3 linked regions of the Arabidopsis thaliana genome follow. The protein of the gene in region 1 interacts with the protein of each later gene in a biochemical or structural test. Each region holds a gene or a part of one and is shown on either strand. Other genes may lie near its edges.

Region 1 (5,054 bases):
TTTCCCACCTAGGAAGAGTAAAAATGCAAAGATTACTAATGAAGAAAAGCCCCATAATTTTGTTTTTTTTTTTGTTTTTACAATTCGTTTCTAGAAACTCAAAATATGAAAAGTTGAATCGTTTCAAAAAGAAATTGCTGGTTCGTTAATTTGCTACGTCTAATCGTTTATTTATAATTATTTTCTTATATCGTGCTTATGAACTTATAATGCAACGTATGATACATGCATTTCCCCTACTGTTCGAATACCAATTGCAGATTCAATGCAAGTCAGCAAGTATCTCCTAAATTATTTCTTAGCAGTAGATATTCTTCTTAATGATTACAATCTTTTAGCAGTAGATATTCTTCTCAATTATGATATGTGACGTGGAATATATATTTTCATCTGTTATATAAAAACAGTCGCAATTATTCAAACAAAATGTATAGGAAAATAAATAAGTGGTGTGAATATGTGATTCAAATGAATCTGTAATATTCTCAAAATTCCTACCTCCGTGAATTCTAGAAAATGTCGTCGATCGGAACAAATTTGAAAATAGAATGATTTGTGTGGATAAACTTTTAAATCATTGTGTGGGAACGCACGGATTCTACAAAATCATGCTGGCCAAGTTAAGCTTCATAGCCTTAATGCATTCACAGCTATGGACAGTCGAGTTGTACGTTAATATGTCTTCTATGGACAGGAGCGGGTAAGATGGCCAATGAGGTCATTATGTTGAGATGTACGTAGACAAATTTCAATGTTGTTCTTTCTGAGTATTAAAAGAGTGTGATCACTGATTTTGAAGTCAGAAAAAACAAAAGAACATGTTTAAAGCGTCAAGTTTATCGCATCGTCTCGGTTCTCAGATTGTGTATTTGGTAGCTGCGGTGGTGGCTAAATTGCGGTCTCTTTTGTTGACATCACTTGTATTTCTTGACTAGTTATTTGTGCTACCTGGTTTTGAATGTGTCTTGCTAGTGCGGTTCTTCATAATTGAAGTTAGTGCTGCAATGAGTTATCACCTCTTGTTGCGTTTGTTTTGTGTTCTAGAAGAGTTAGTAAGATCGATGGTGTTCGATGTGGTTATGAATCGCATAAATCATGCTCTGCTCTATCCGACTTTGGGGAAAGAAATTGGTAGATGGAGCTTGCATCGTTCGCATAATTTGGTTCTTGAGGTTCCATATTATTGGAAAGCTTATGGACTTGAACAACGAGTCACTGTCACATGACGCGAGAGGAGTTTATGCCAGAGAACTTTGAGTTTCTACCGTTGACGGCTCATCCTTAGACCTCCAATTCAAAGTTTTTAATGCAAATAGTTTAGCATTATGCTTTTTTCAAGCAGTAGTTACCCTTCTTCTTAAAAAAACAAAAAACAAAAAACTTAATTATAAGATAAAATTTCAAAATAGTCATATTTTTATCTAACTCGTTCGGCTTCAACGCTTTGGTTGAGTTGATTGACCAAAACTTGTGAATCACGATGTATGCTTCTATGTTTTATTTTTCTTGTTATAGGATCATTTGTATAGGCTTAAAATCTTTTGATTGTAAATTTATATTTTTATCATTTCAATAAAATATTTTTATTTTTATTTAAGAAAAAACAGAAAAAAACAAAAAACAAAAGAACATAATTGTTGCGTACAAAATGAGTGGCTAATGGGTTTGAACTAGACAGAAAAAGTTAGGGACGTTTTATCAAAGACTATTGTAGGCTTATACTTGTTTGTTTTAGGACTTGTCGTTCTATGTCTATTTGTAGTAGTCTCTACTTGTTAGAATAAGATGATTTTTTCAAAACTAATTTTGCACAAGTGATTTGAACTTTAACAAACAGCGACAATTATTAATTTATTATATGGGATTCAGCCATGTGACTAGAATTAAATTGTTCAATCCAAGAGTTCTAGACCCAAAAAAAAAACAGTACTGCCCTTTCAATTTAAAATAATTTGAGAATCAATTAAAGAGCTTAAAGTAGTTGAAAAGTACATAAGTCCAATGTAGAAAAGGTCTTGTCACAACTCTACATATAGACCATAAATCAGAGATTTAAGCACTTCAAACCTTGAGCTCCCTCCTCTCTCTCTCTCTCTCTCTTTGTCTTCAAAATATTCTCAGAAAACAATGGAAGAAACAGCACTGACAAAAGATCAGATCACTGAGTTCAAAGAAGCCTTTTGTCTCTTCGACAAAGACGGCGACGGTTCTCTTCCTTTCTCTAGATGGTCATATATAGAATAAAGATAATAAAGACGACGACTAATATTATGTTGTGTGACATTTATTTATGGTTGTTTGGAATCCTTTAATAGGTTGTATAACGGTGGAAGAACTTGCAACAGTGATCCGTTCGTTGGATCAGAATCCGACAGAACAAGAACTTCATGATATCATCACTGAGATTGATTCTGATAGCAACGGCACCATTGAATTTGCTGAGTTTCTCAACCTCATGGCCAAAAAACTTCAGGTTCCACTCTCTCTTGATCTCTCATGCTTATTTATTTCACAACTAATTACATCAAGTTAACGTAGCCACGTACAAACCAAAAAGTTACATCAAGTGAAATTTTTTTGTCTATATGATTTCTTATATATTATGTTATAGGTCCCTTATTGTAACTCTTTGATATGGGATCCTAACAGGTTCTAGTCAAAATGGAGCTGTCTCATTCATTATGCTTCTAGTTTATTAAAAACTCTTAAGAAATATATTGGAAATATTCAGCTTTTGTATTACAGCAAAATCTGTTTTGCTTTCGGTTTTTCACTACGAATAAATCTGATTTGTGAAGAACTAGACACGTAAATGTGTATAATGTAAACAAAGACTTTTATGACAATAGTTTTTTTGTATGTTAAGTTGTTGTCATGATCATGTGATGGTTTAGGAAAGTGATGCGGAGGAAGAGCTGAAAGAAGCATTCAAAGTCTTTGACAAAGACCAAAATGGATACATCTCTGCCAGTGAGGTCCGTGACTCTTACTCTCTTTTTTTTCTCTCTTTATTACTAATTTGATATATGTGTCAATGTGTATATTTAGTTAGATATATGCTTGACTTATTGAGAACTTAAAAGGGAACTTATGCGGAAAATCCTCTTTAAGAACTTATAAAAACAAATTAGTTCGATGCACTGGATTGCGTTTTGTACAACGTTCTCCAATAATACCATGTACGGTCTAACTGTGTTTTTATTTGGTTATAAATGATTAGAGCTATAATTATTTAGATTTTTGTATCTACTAGAAATCCTTATCTAAATTTTGGTTATTGTCAAATTTAGTTTAGGTACATGAACCAATTTCATAAATGTCTTCTTTGCTTAAGTGGTACATGCTCTATATCTCTAAAGTGTCGTCAAATACAGGCTAAGCACAATAATTATGAGCATAGTATTTTTATGTAACCACTTGGACCAATTAATTCTGCATTAACTAGAAAAAACGAGAAATCCAGCTAAAACACACTTTCACATATGTAGAATCAATGACAAATATCAGACAACAAAGCCAGACGATCTTCCAATTTAAAGAGATCCATAGTTGTCTCATTTATGTTCTAAAACATTTTTTAACAAGACATGGCCATTTATTTATTTGATTTTATATTTTCGAAAGTCTGTTTTCCATCGTGAGGGCTTAGAGCTAGCTGGCATTGTGAATCTTTAGAGAATAACGAAGAGGAACAAAAGAAATTTTAATACAAAGTAGTTAGATAGAGTAAAATGCGTTTGATTTTATTGGTTTATTTGACAGGAGGGCACATGTTTCACCTAGTTTAATTAAATATATATACCTTTCTTTACATCCTCAAAAGTTACATTAATGCAGACACCTTTTTGCATGCAACACAATTCAATTTATTAATTTGGGGTTTTCTATATCGATTGGTCAAAACTTAGGCTAAAACCAGCTGTATTTTGCTTACAACTTAAAAAAAAAAAAACTAAACAATTGTATGAATTTGGTTTATTCATATTTTTCGTACCGAAATTAGAAATTGTTCAAGTTAGGCCGTTTGACCTACTATATTGTATTGCATATTCAAATGGATAATAAACAATTATTATTCTCTGTACAGGGTCAGACCCGTCTGATTAACATGCACAACTTAATTTACAATAATTAGACTAACAATTACGTTAATTATTTATTAATTTGAAAAGCTTTGTTATTGCAGTTGAGTCATGTAATGATAAATCTAGGAGAAAAGCTAACAGATGAAGAAGTTGAACAAATGATAAAGGAGGCAGATTTGGATGGTGATGGCCAAGTCAATTATGATGAATTTGTCAAGATGATGATCAACATTGACTGATTACTTTTTCTAAATCTATTTATTATATAAGCCAATGATCCTTAATTACCTTGTTAGTTGTTACTACTTCGTGTTCACACCATCTCAACAAATTCTCCATTATTCCACATTCATTGAAATTTTCAGATCCAGTTTTGTTTTATCACTTGTGAAGCTGTCAAATCCAATATAATCTCTATATTATAGCTTTCTCTATATGATTTTGGAATTCTGTTTATACATAGTTTGTTTCTATATTATAGCTTTTTCGATATGATATTTTTCTTCTTCTTGCAATCTTTGATTATAGGTGTTTCAATATGATTTTGGAATTATATTTAGCGAATGAATACGAAACACAATTTTTTTTGTGGAAAATGCAAAAAATCTTAAAACAAAGCAGCATATTGAGTTTATGTGAATGCTAAAGTATTTGGATATTATTTTCCTCATGAAAGTGAGGAGTTGAACTCCTTCACTCAAACGAAAATATCTAATGGCTAAACCACTAGTCTAGACACTTTAAAGAATAATTGAAAATGATTTATGTAAAAAAAAAGAAAAGTGAGACTGTGAGAAAGCCATGCCCATATAATATTTAGTAAGAAAATAATAATAAAATTACAGGTAGTAAAAAAATTTCCACACTTTATCAAAAACCCCTCAAACAGAAAATCCCAATTTAAGTATACAGAAAAGAGAAAACCCAATCCACACTTTCACTTATTTCCTCCCAATTTCTCAGAATAAT
Region 2 (5,447 bases), on another chromosome or scaffold:
CCACTGAGCTACAGACGCTTCTTTGGGAGTTAGAATCATAATATTAATAATGAAGAATAAATGTCAATAGCATTGAGCCATTGAGAAAATCGGTTGAACTGACTTCTCTAACTGAAAATTCACATTGGTGAGTTTGGTGGCGATTTAATTTTTGGGCGTATATTATTTTTTAGAAAATTAAGATAGAAATTAATGGTTGTGGTAGTATATATTAACGGGTTTAGTTCACCAACTAACACAATTAATCTTCCCTACTTACACTGCGATCGTTTGTTTTTATCTAGTTCTAAATTACTAGAACTAGTTTACTTCAGACAACAAACTTTATAAGTAGAAAACCGAGTCATTGTAGATTATTATATTTGTAATTTACTTAATGATGTTACCATGAAAACTATAAGTAGTATATATAAGAATTTTCTTTTGCGTATGGACTATATACGTCTGAGAAACAAAACCTAACTGTTACTAATGGAGTTTCAATGTAATGAATTGAGTTTGGACTTTGGCGTTTTGAGATAGACAAGTACTAAACATTTCACTTGGGTTTGTCTCACGGAAAGGTGGTTGATTTTAATGCCTTCGGGTGATAACTCTTTTTTTTTTCTCCACGCCTTAGGTGATGGTAAACTCATAAAGTCATTTTAATCCTCGAAAATTAAGGATCTATCCACGCCTCATATTATAAAGTAAGATTTGTGTTTATTATGGCATCCCATATGGCCATTGGTGCAAGTTTGAGGTGGGTCCAAATTGTCACGCATGAAAAATTGACAATGGTTACGTTGAGAAAGAAAACTACTAAAATAGTAGTATAGTTTATTCGTAAACCAAAACAATTGTAGCCATCATTACGAATGGATAGCTCTTGTTATTAACTTTCAAATAACAGGGATTATGTAGTAGAAACTTGTTTTTTTGTATTAGTATTATGGCTCGAAAGTGATAGTATTTGTGAATACAAATATTCTAGTAATAGTTGAATATTAAAAAATCATATCAATGATACGATGGCTTAATTTTGTAGTCAAATTTGTCTGCCATATGTTTCCTCTCTTTATGCCGCCACGAAAAAATTGAAAATATAAAGAAGAAGAAACAGACAGCACACTCACAATTTGTCGAATTTTTAACTAATGATTTTGTCAACTTCTATAAGTGCAAATCCATATTTTTTATTCCTTGGTTATAGAATTTTATTTAACTTTTACTAATTTTCGTTGTTTTAATAATTTTAAATCATACTAGCAAAAAATGTCATCCAAAATTAACTAAAACCTAATGTTCCGACACTTTCAATCTCATTCTACATGTAAACAAAAAGCTCAAAAATGTAAGAAAAAAATAACAAGGTTTGCTAAATTAGAAGAGCTATTTAATATCACATGCGCTATTTAATTTTCTTTTTTAATCACGAATCACGAATTAGCTATTTTGCGGAGAATAGAATTTGAGTGAAATATAATCATAACAAAATCCCTTTAATATTAACTCTCAATTCATTACAAGCAAAGGTGATGTCTTATTTTATATGACGAAAATGCCCACAAACCAGCCAGATATATCAACCGTTTGAGTTCTTTACATCGTAAATGCGTTAGTTACGGCAACAATCTCTAATCCTTTCATCTTCCTCAAAATTATTAAAATCATAGGACTACTAATTTAGAAACAAGAAATTACAAAAAACAAAACAAGAAAAACAAAACTTGACTTGACTTGCAGTTGAAAGTAAAAAATAAAAACAAAAGTTGAATTGCTACGGTGGAGTTGTATAAATATAGCAGAGATTCCAATCCATCTCCACTCAGCAAAAGCTGACTCTTCTTCTAACTTTCTATTTCTTCCAAGAATAACAAACTTTTTTCTCATAAGAAACAAAACAAGAATTCTACAAAACTTCTCATTAAACCTCTGTTTTCTTGTTTCTCTTCTGCTCTGTATTTTCGATAATTCTCTCTGTTTTGTATCCTTTCTTATTTTCTGTGAATCTGTTTTTTTATGGAAATTTAATTCAAAGGCTTATTAGAGGAAGAAAGAAAGAAAAAGAAAAAAAAACCCACTGGAGCTATGGCTGTTGAAGGTAAACCTAAACATAAAATTTGTTTGCTTTTTGTTAAGAAAGTGGGGGAAAAAAATAAAATCATTGATGCAAATTTATTTTCTGGGTTTATGAAAATTTACGCAGACATGTTATAGAACTGACTTTTTGTATTCCTTGTAACATTAACAGATAACAAGAACAGTGAAAGCAAAAATCATCAAGAGGTAGAGCTTCATAGGAACGACTTAGGCCTCGAAGATTCATCATCGCCAAGAGGTGTTCTCGGAATGGTTTCAGATTCCGACAACAGCAGCAGTAGTTGCAGCTCTTGTTCCTCTGATGATAAATCATCATCAACATCGTCACCATTTTCAAATACTACTAAAACCGTTTCGTCTTCTCACCATGGTCTTCAATGGAACAAAATGATTGAATCTATCAAGAAGAAGTCCATGAGACGATTCTCTGTCATTCCTCTTCTTGCAAGTTACGAACTCACCCGTAAAAACTTGCGTCGTAAGCAACCTAAGCTAACTCCCTCTGAGAGTGCTTTCACCTGTGAAGCCTTCTTTATGGCTAAACCCTCTTGGAGAAACTTCACTTACGAAGAGCTCGCTGTAGCCACCGATTATTTCAATCCTGGTATACACAAAAACGCAAACCCTTCTTCAATAGATTTTGGATTGAGAAATTTGAGTTTTGGTTTTGTTTTTTTGTTAGAGAACATGATTGGTAAGGGAGGACATGCGGAGGTATACAAAGGGGTTTTGATTAATGGTGAGACGGTGGCGATTAAGAAGCTGATGAGTCACGCCAAGGAAGAAGAAGAAAGAGTGAGCGATTTCCTTTCAGAGCTCGGTATAATCGCACATGTAAACCACCCAAACGCAGCTAGGCTTCGCGGTTTCAGCAGTGATCGCGGTTTGCATTTTGTTCTTGAGTACGCTCCCTATGGCAGCCTCGCTTCTATGCTTTTTGGTATACTTAAAAGTCTCCTTCTTACTGAAAATCTTGTGTCTAGTACTTTTTTCTACAATGTTGTGATATTGTCTCTTTGATCTTTGTAGGATCAGAGGAATGTCTAGAGTGGAAGATAAGGTATAAAGTGGCTCTAGGTATAGCTGATGGTCTGAGTTATCTTCATAATGCTTGTCCAAGAAGGATCATTCACCGTGACATCAAAGCTTCTAACATATTGCTCAACCACGATTACGAAGCTCAGGTAAATGATCTTGACAAATGACAACATCTCTAAACATTTTCTTGGTATTTGGTTGGTTTGAGAACCATTTACATATTGTACATTTTCTCAATTCAGATTTCAGATTTCGGACTTGCAAAATGGCTCCCAGAGAACTGGCCTCACCATGTTGTATTCCCCATTGAAGGAACATTCGGGTAAAAGAGAGAAAGCTTTGTAACTATCCATGAACAGCTTTGCTGATCAAAACTATAGGTTTCATTGGGTTTTTTCTCCCTTTAGATATCTAGCTCCAGAGTATTTCATGCACGGCATTGTTGATGAGAAGATTGATGTGTTTGCCTTTGGAGTATTGCTTCTAGAGATCATAACCAGTCGCCGAGCTGTTGATACAGCAAGCAGGCAGAGCATTGTTGCATGGGTAAATGCATCAGTGACTCTTTATTGAGACTCATCAAAAGTTCAGCTTGAGATCTTTTGTTTACCTTATTGATTTGGTTATACAGGCAAAACCTTTTCTTGAGAAAAATAGCATGGAGGACATTGTGGATCCTCGGCTAGGAAATATGTTTAATCCAACAGAGATGCAACGAGTGATGCTAACAGCTTCAATGTGTGTACATCATATTGCCGCAATGCGACCTGACATGACTCGGGTATAGTACCTATTCTTCCCATGTTCATAGAGCCAAAACAGATCTTTGGTATCGGTTTTGATGTGAATTCTTTGTGCAGTTGGTGCAGCTGTTACGTGGAGAAGACGGACCAGCTGAGCTACAGCAGAAGGCAGGTGAAAGAACAATGAGCGTGAACGCTTGTGATCTACAAGATCACACCTCTTCCTCATACCTCAACGAACTCCGCCGCCATAGGCAACTCTTAATGGAGTGAGTAGAAGCAATAACATCAACTTAAAGAACTGTTTATCAACCTCTTTCTTTTTAGATTTTTATTTTCTTGACTTGAGTTTTGCTTGTTATTCTCCATTGGTTGCTTTTTTTTCTTGTCCAACCAAACTGTGAATATCTTCAACTTGTGTCTCTCTGTTGCTTCTACTGAACTTTGTTAGTCTCAACCTCTCGGTAGAGTTGTCAATTTGTTACCAATGAGCTCACAAGTAGATAGATATCAAACAAATAGCAACACAGAACTTTCTGAAGATAATTTTTTCATAAATGGAAACAGAGTACACTGCGGATAAGCTGATAGCCTTATACATACAAGATACAAAAGAAACCATCCCCCCTAATTCCCAAAAACTACCATTTTTCTCCACCGAGTTTAGGTTTAATACATTCTTCCACATTTCCAACCCCCAACTACTCCTGCCTAAACAACAACAGTTAATCAAAAACAAAAGTGAGATTTTTAAGATTCTTCTAGTCAGCTTATGTGTTAGCCAGAATCAAGAAGTTGTGTCTCTTATAACGATAAAAACTTGACTCAATCAACTTATATGATTGGTTTTAGTAAGACTGATTAGGCCAGAGGAAGAACTCAGCCGGATTTGGTGCCATAAGTCCCATTGTTCCCTGAACGTTGGAGTTGTTGTTAGACCCGGTCGAGTCAGAAGCTGCATTCGCCGGAAAATGCTGGAAGAAGTTCTGTTGCTGCTGCTGCTGTTGGTGTTGCTGTTGTTGTTGGTGGTGGTGGTAAAGAGCAGCTGCTTCAAAAGGGATTCCACAAGGAATGATCTGTTGAGACTGAACTGCTGAATTAGGACAGAGAGCGAAGTTAATGCTACTGTGATTAGGAGATGACTGAAGCTGAAGCTGTTGTTGTTGTTGTTGTTGCTGGAAATGGTGAAGTTGATGATGACCGAGGATTGGTTTCTGCTCTGATGAAGCAGCAGCTTCCAAAGAGAGCTTAAGACGTTTAGCTGCACCACCGATGGGAAGTGCACTCTTCATGATGGCTTCAACGTCGTAACGGTTCATCTCAAAGTTAGTTACAGCGTTTATTCCTCTGAATTTGATTGCTGCTATGTCATACGCTTCAGCTGCTTCCTCTTCCGTTGCTACAACAACAACACCAGGACTAACTAATTAACCACAGACAATGATTGTTAAATTAGCTAGACCAAGTTTGAAGATTTTACATACCAAAGGTTCCAAGGTAAAGATCTTTGTTCCCAGCAACTCGGCCAATCCTTGCTTGCCAACGTCCTTGTTGATGATGCCTTGTAACACCTCGGTATATCGA
Region 3 (4,058 bases), 3.7 Mb from region 1:
TCCATCATAAGTCCTTTCGTGTTTTCACCCGGATATGAATCTACAGCATATAAGTTTTAATATTTAAAGTTAATATCGGAATATATAAACATGAATTTGCTATATGAATGTGAAATATTTTGACATCATCCGAATACAATGTGTTTTAAAACGAATTTTGCATCCATAAGCTCCATCTAGCTAGTTGCAAAGGTGAGAAATATTTCCTTTTTGGTTCTCAGCTTCTCATGACTATTCCAAAACGAGAAAAAAGGCAATCAAAATTTTTAAAGGCATTCACATATACATAAGGAAAGAGAAAATAAAACCGAGAAGTATTTTATGTTTGATGTATCTCCGATCCTAGTAAAGGCCCAAGATATTGATGCAAGGTATATGAGACCTAGCTCAGCCGTGATTTCTCCGTGAAGAAGACTCAGCTTTGTTAATAATTGAATGAGGCGGTGTATGATGCCAAAACCCTAGTTCGTTCTATTTGATTTTAATGATATTATTCAAAACCCTAGTTTTTAAAAAGTAACTAATTTTTTTTCGTTACTGCCAAGGAAAAACAATCGGCTTTTCATGCAACAAATCTCGTTAAAATTGGTTATGGGCCTGCATGTGAAAATGGAGCCAGAACCAGAAGAGGACTTGGTCAATGCATCGAGAACATTTGCGTAATATTCTTTTTTTTTTCTTTTTTAGTAGTTTTTAATCATCAGCGTAATCTAAGACTCCGACCAAGTCTTACACAAAACAAAAAGAAGAGAAGCTGAGAAATCTGACAAGGAATTAGAAAATGAAAAAGAAAGTTTTTTTCCATTAGTAATAACAGAGGAAAAACTTATGCTTCTGTTGGTTCTCCCTTGCATCTCGCTTTCCTTAGCTCATTTTTACTGTTACGGTGTTACGCACAACTAGAATAATCACTTGGAACACTCAGAATGTTGCAGCGGGCCAGTTCAACGATCAGACGAAGTAAACATCAAGATAGCAAGAGCAACCACTATCGACGACGAATTCAGTTTGTGAGGAAGAGCGTTGGTGTAGCTTGAGACACGTTTCAATCACGTGTAGCTAAAAATATCTAGATAATTGTAATAGAAAATAAATTAAATATTTTATGTATTAATTGGTTTAGTATGAGAAAAGCCAAAACATTGACCAAGTCTAAGATTAAGAAAGCTAGATGAGCAATTCACTATCAAAGACGAGAAGACTGAAGTAAAGACAAAATAAGAAGACTCATTAGCTGCTTCACAATCCTTATCTCTTTGATTGTAAGAAACTGAGTTACTTTATTTCGATGATACCAATTTTAAACGCAGAGAAAAAGCAACACGTCAATTTGTAAAGCAGAGCAAAACGAATTACAACTTGGCCAAAACTTCGACGTAAAAAGCAGCACATCAATTTGCTCTGCTTGGCGACGGTGGTGGTGGTGGAGATGGTGTTCCAATGGTAGTTTCGTTGTAGAACGAGTAAAGCTCGTACCTTGAATTACAACTTGGCCAAAACTGTCTTGCTCCAATTCTAGAAAGTGGCATTCTATTGATGGATCTTGTCAGACATCTCAAACAGTCTTGACTTGTAAGATCAGGAGTGCATTGAACAAGCCCGTACAAAGTCTGGAGTTCGGTCAATTCGGTCTTTATCGTAGAGAATTTTCTAGAACTGTTGGCTGCTTCCATGGCAGCTTGGTTCATATTAGATTGCACCAAAACTATAAACTGGTTTATTTGACTTTGATTAGGAGAAATAGTGTTGGTGTTACTCAAGATAAATTCTCCTTCGTTTGTAATGGCCGTCGATAGAATATTCTTGTCAGAGTATCTGAGTATACACTCCTCGTAATAGAACACAGCTTCTCTCTGACTTGGACACCTAGTTAACGCTTCGTCAACGGAGAAGGCAACGCAGTTACTGCAAACTTCCGGCGAGAGGTCTCCGCGGCAGAGGAAAAGTCCGGTGACCAGGTCGGGGGTTTGTCCCACCGTGACGTTCTGGAATCCGGTGGAGTAAGAGGCGTTGCGGGAAGCAAAAGAGGACAAAAGGGTTCTGAGATTGGTGGAGTAAGTGCTGAATCTTGAGTAAGTTGTCGTATTTGGACAATAATGATTTAAGTAAAAAGGATCTTGAGCGGAAGCTTTGAAGCTAGTGAGGAATGAGAAAAGGAAAAGGAAGATAAAAGAGATCAGAGAAGACATGGTGTTTTTTTCGACTTCGTTGATTTGAGTTTCACATCATGCAGCTTCCATTTATTAACGTGAATAGTTTGTGACGACCATAAGTCATCAATCAAAGTCAATGTAAACGATTTTTTTTTATGTCATTCCTTTTTATTAACAACAAAAGTCAAATTATTGGAAAAGGCCTTGTTGAAATAACCTATTTTGTTTTATGAATAAGATTACAAGCAACTGATATCTCGACAATAATTTAGTGAAACTAAACTTTTTGAGTAAGAAAATTAATTAGGGCTACAAACTGAATAAACTAGGGTTGTGAAATTATTGTTTTAACTTATAACTGTTCGTTTGTTACTTGTCTGGTAAGGAACTTTAACTGTGCTGTCTTTTTGACCCAAAGTCTCGGCGCCAAGCGGAATAATCATCAACCTCACTTCAATAATATTCAATTCCAACCCATATTTTTCTCGGAAATAGATTGATAGACGTCAAAACATAGAAAATTTATAAATCTATTTTCTCTGGTTGTCACTTCCACGTGTTTTAGTCTAACATTTGAATAACAATAAAAGTTGATGTTCATCATATAGGTGACTTTGACTTTCAAAAAATTGTATTAGTTAGTTAGTTTATAACAAAGTAAGAAAAGAAAAAACTTTGACGTGCTAGATGGTTTCACATTTCATTTATTTTACTACTTTTACAAATCATGTAAATCACCTTCCCACATTACTCTGTTTTCCCTCTGTTCCCAAATCAGAAGGTACAAGATCATTGGAGGTATTGCTAAAGCGATTATATATCTTCATCATTCACGACTCTCAATCAGACATTGTGACTTCAAAGCAGGTAATATCCTCATAGACGCTGAAATGAAATCCAAAGTTACAGATTTTGGATTGGCCAAATTTTTAGAATGGACCAAACTTTAATGCCAATTGCCAACATTCTAAGTGTTCTCTCCATTTCTCATTTCTCTCCATATCTAATTATTCTTTAATAAAAAATCAAAACAAAGTACACATATGGTTTTAACAAACCAAATCAAAACTAAACAATTTATTGGGTTGATCACACCTAGAAATATGAAAATATATGCTTAAACTTCATTACAACCGTGAAGGTAAACATCATATTTAGCGCGGATATAAATCAGTGATCAATTCATCGTCAATAGATGCTGGAGTAGACTTGGTCGTGGTAGACTGATCTGAATCAGTCGGGTCCTTTACGGGACTACTTTGAATGAAAAACCCTGGTTGCCGAGGCACTGGTAAGGTCACAGTATTACTAGTGAGCATCATGAAAACGGTTGATATTGTCGGACGCTTTGCAGGATCTTCTTGAACACATAAAAGACCGATATGGATGCATCGAACCACTTCGCTATTCTGGCAGTTATTTGCTATAAGTGGATCCACGAGGTCTAATGCTGTTCTGTTAGTCCAAAGCCTCCAAGTCTAGAATATCAATCAATAAATCAGTTCTAGCTACTAACGTTACGTGTTGTAATGTAAGAGAGGTATATATTGATTGCCTAAAAACTTACATGTGTGAGCAAGTCTTGTGCGCCGTCTGACTCGTCGAAGCTACTATTCTTCCTACCACTTATAATCTCAAGAACTAACACTCCGAAGCTATAGACATCAGATTTCATTGAGAATTGGCCATGCATCGCATACTCGGGAGCCATGTAACCGCTGGAATCCACAACAAAACTTTAGTATATATGTTGGCAAAATAAAATTTCCAACAAACTTTAACGTATGAGATGTTAGGTGGAACACTTACTAGGTACCAACTATTCGGCTTGTGTTATCCTGGGTTTGGTCCAATCCGAAGATCCTAGCCATTCCAAAATCTGCAATTTTCGGATTTATATCCGCA

Evidence for each region. The genes of interacting proteins can lie anywhere in the genome.
Region 2: the proteins of CAM8 (region 1) and RBK1 form a complex in vitro, tested with the Arabidopsis thaliana proteins (one large-scale study listed by BioGRID).
Region 3: the proteins of CAM8 (region 1) and EP1 form a complex in vitro, tested with the Arabidopsis thaliana proteins (one large-scale study listed by BioGRID).

What each region holds. Positions count from the first base shown.
Region 1 is NC_003075.7:8,395,673-8,400,726, forward strand, and holds CAM8 (calmodulin 8), read left to right. Parts: upstream 1-2,039; 5' UTR 2,040-2,127; coding exon 2,128-2,206; exon of another isoform or gene 2,207-2,290; coding exon of another isoform or gene 2,291-2,315; coding exon 2,316-2,473; intron 2,474-2,894; coding exon 2,895-2,975; coding exon of another isoform or gene 2,976-3,023; exon of another isoform or gene 3,024-3,033; intron 3,034-4,186; coding exon 4,187-4,324; 3' UTR 4,325-4,554; downstream 4,555-5,054.
Region 2 is NC_003076.8:3,319,273-3,324,719, reverse strand, and holds RBK1 (ROP binding protein kinases 1), read left to right. Parts: upstream 1-1,809; 5' UTR 1,810-2,070; coding exon 2,071-2,083; intron 2,084-2,233; coding exon 2,234-2,686; intron 2,687-2,764; coding exon 2,765-3,022; intron 3,023-3,111; coding exon 3,112-3,266; intron 3,267-3,362; coding exon 3,363-3,442; intron 3,443-3,527; coding exon 3,528-3,666; coding exon of another isoform or gene 3,667-3,693; exon of another isoform or gene 3,694-3,751; coding exon 3,752-3,901; intron 3,902-3,980; coding exon 3,981-4,136; 3' UTR 4,137-4,711; downstream 4,712-5,447. Other genes in the region: AIL6 (AINTEGUMENTA-like 6), read right to left, coding at 4,712-5,262, 5,348-5,447.
Region 3 is NC_003075.7:12,133,336-12,137,393, reverse strand, and holds EP1 (receptor-like protein kinase-related family protein), read right to left. Parts: upstream 2,422-4,058; 5' UTR 2,190-2,421; coding exon 1,392-2,189; 3' UTR 598-1,391; downstream 1-597.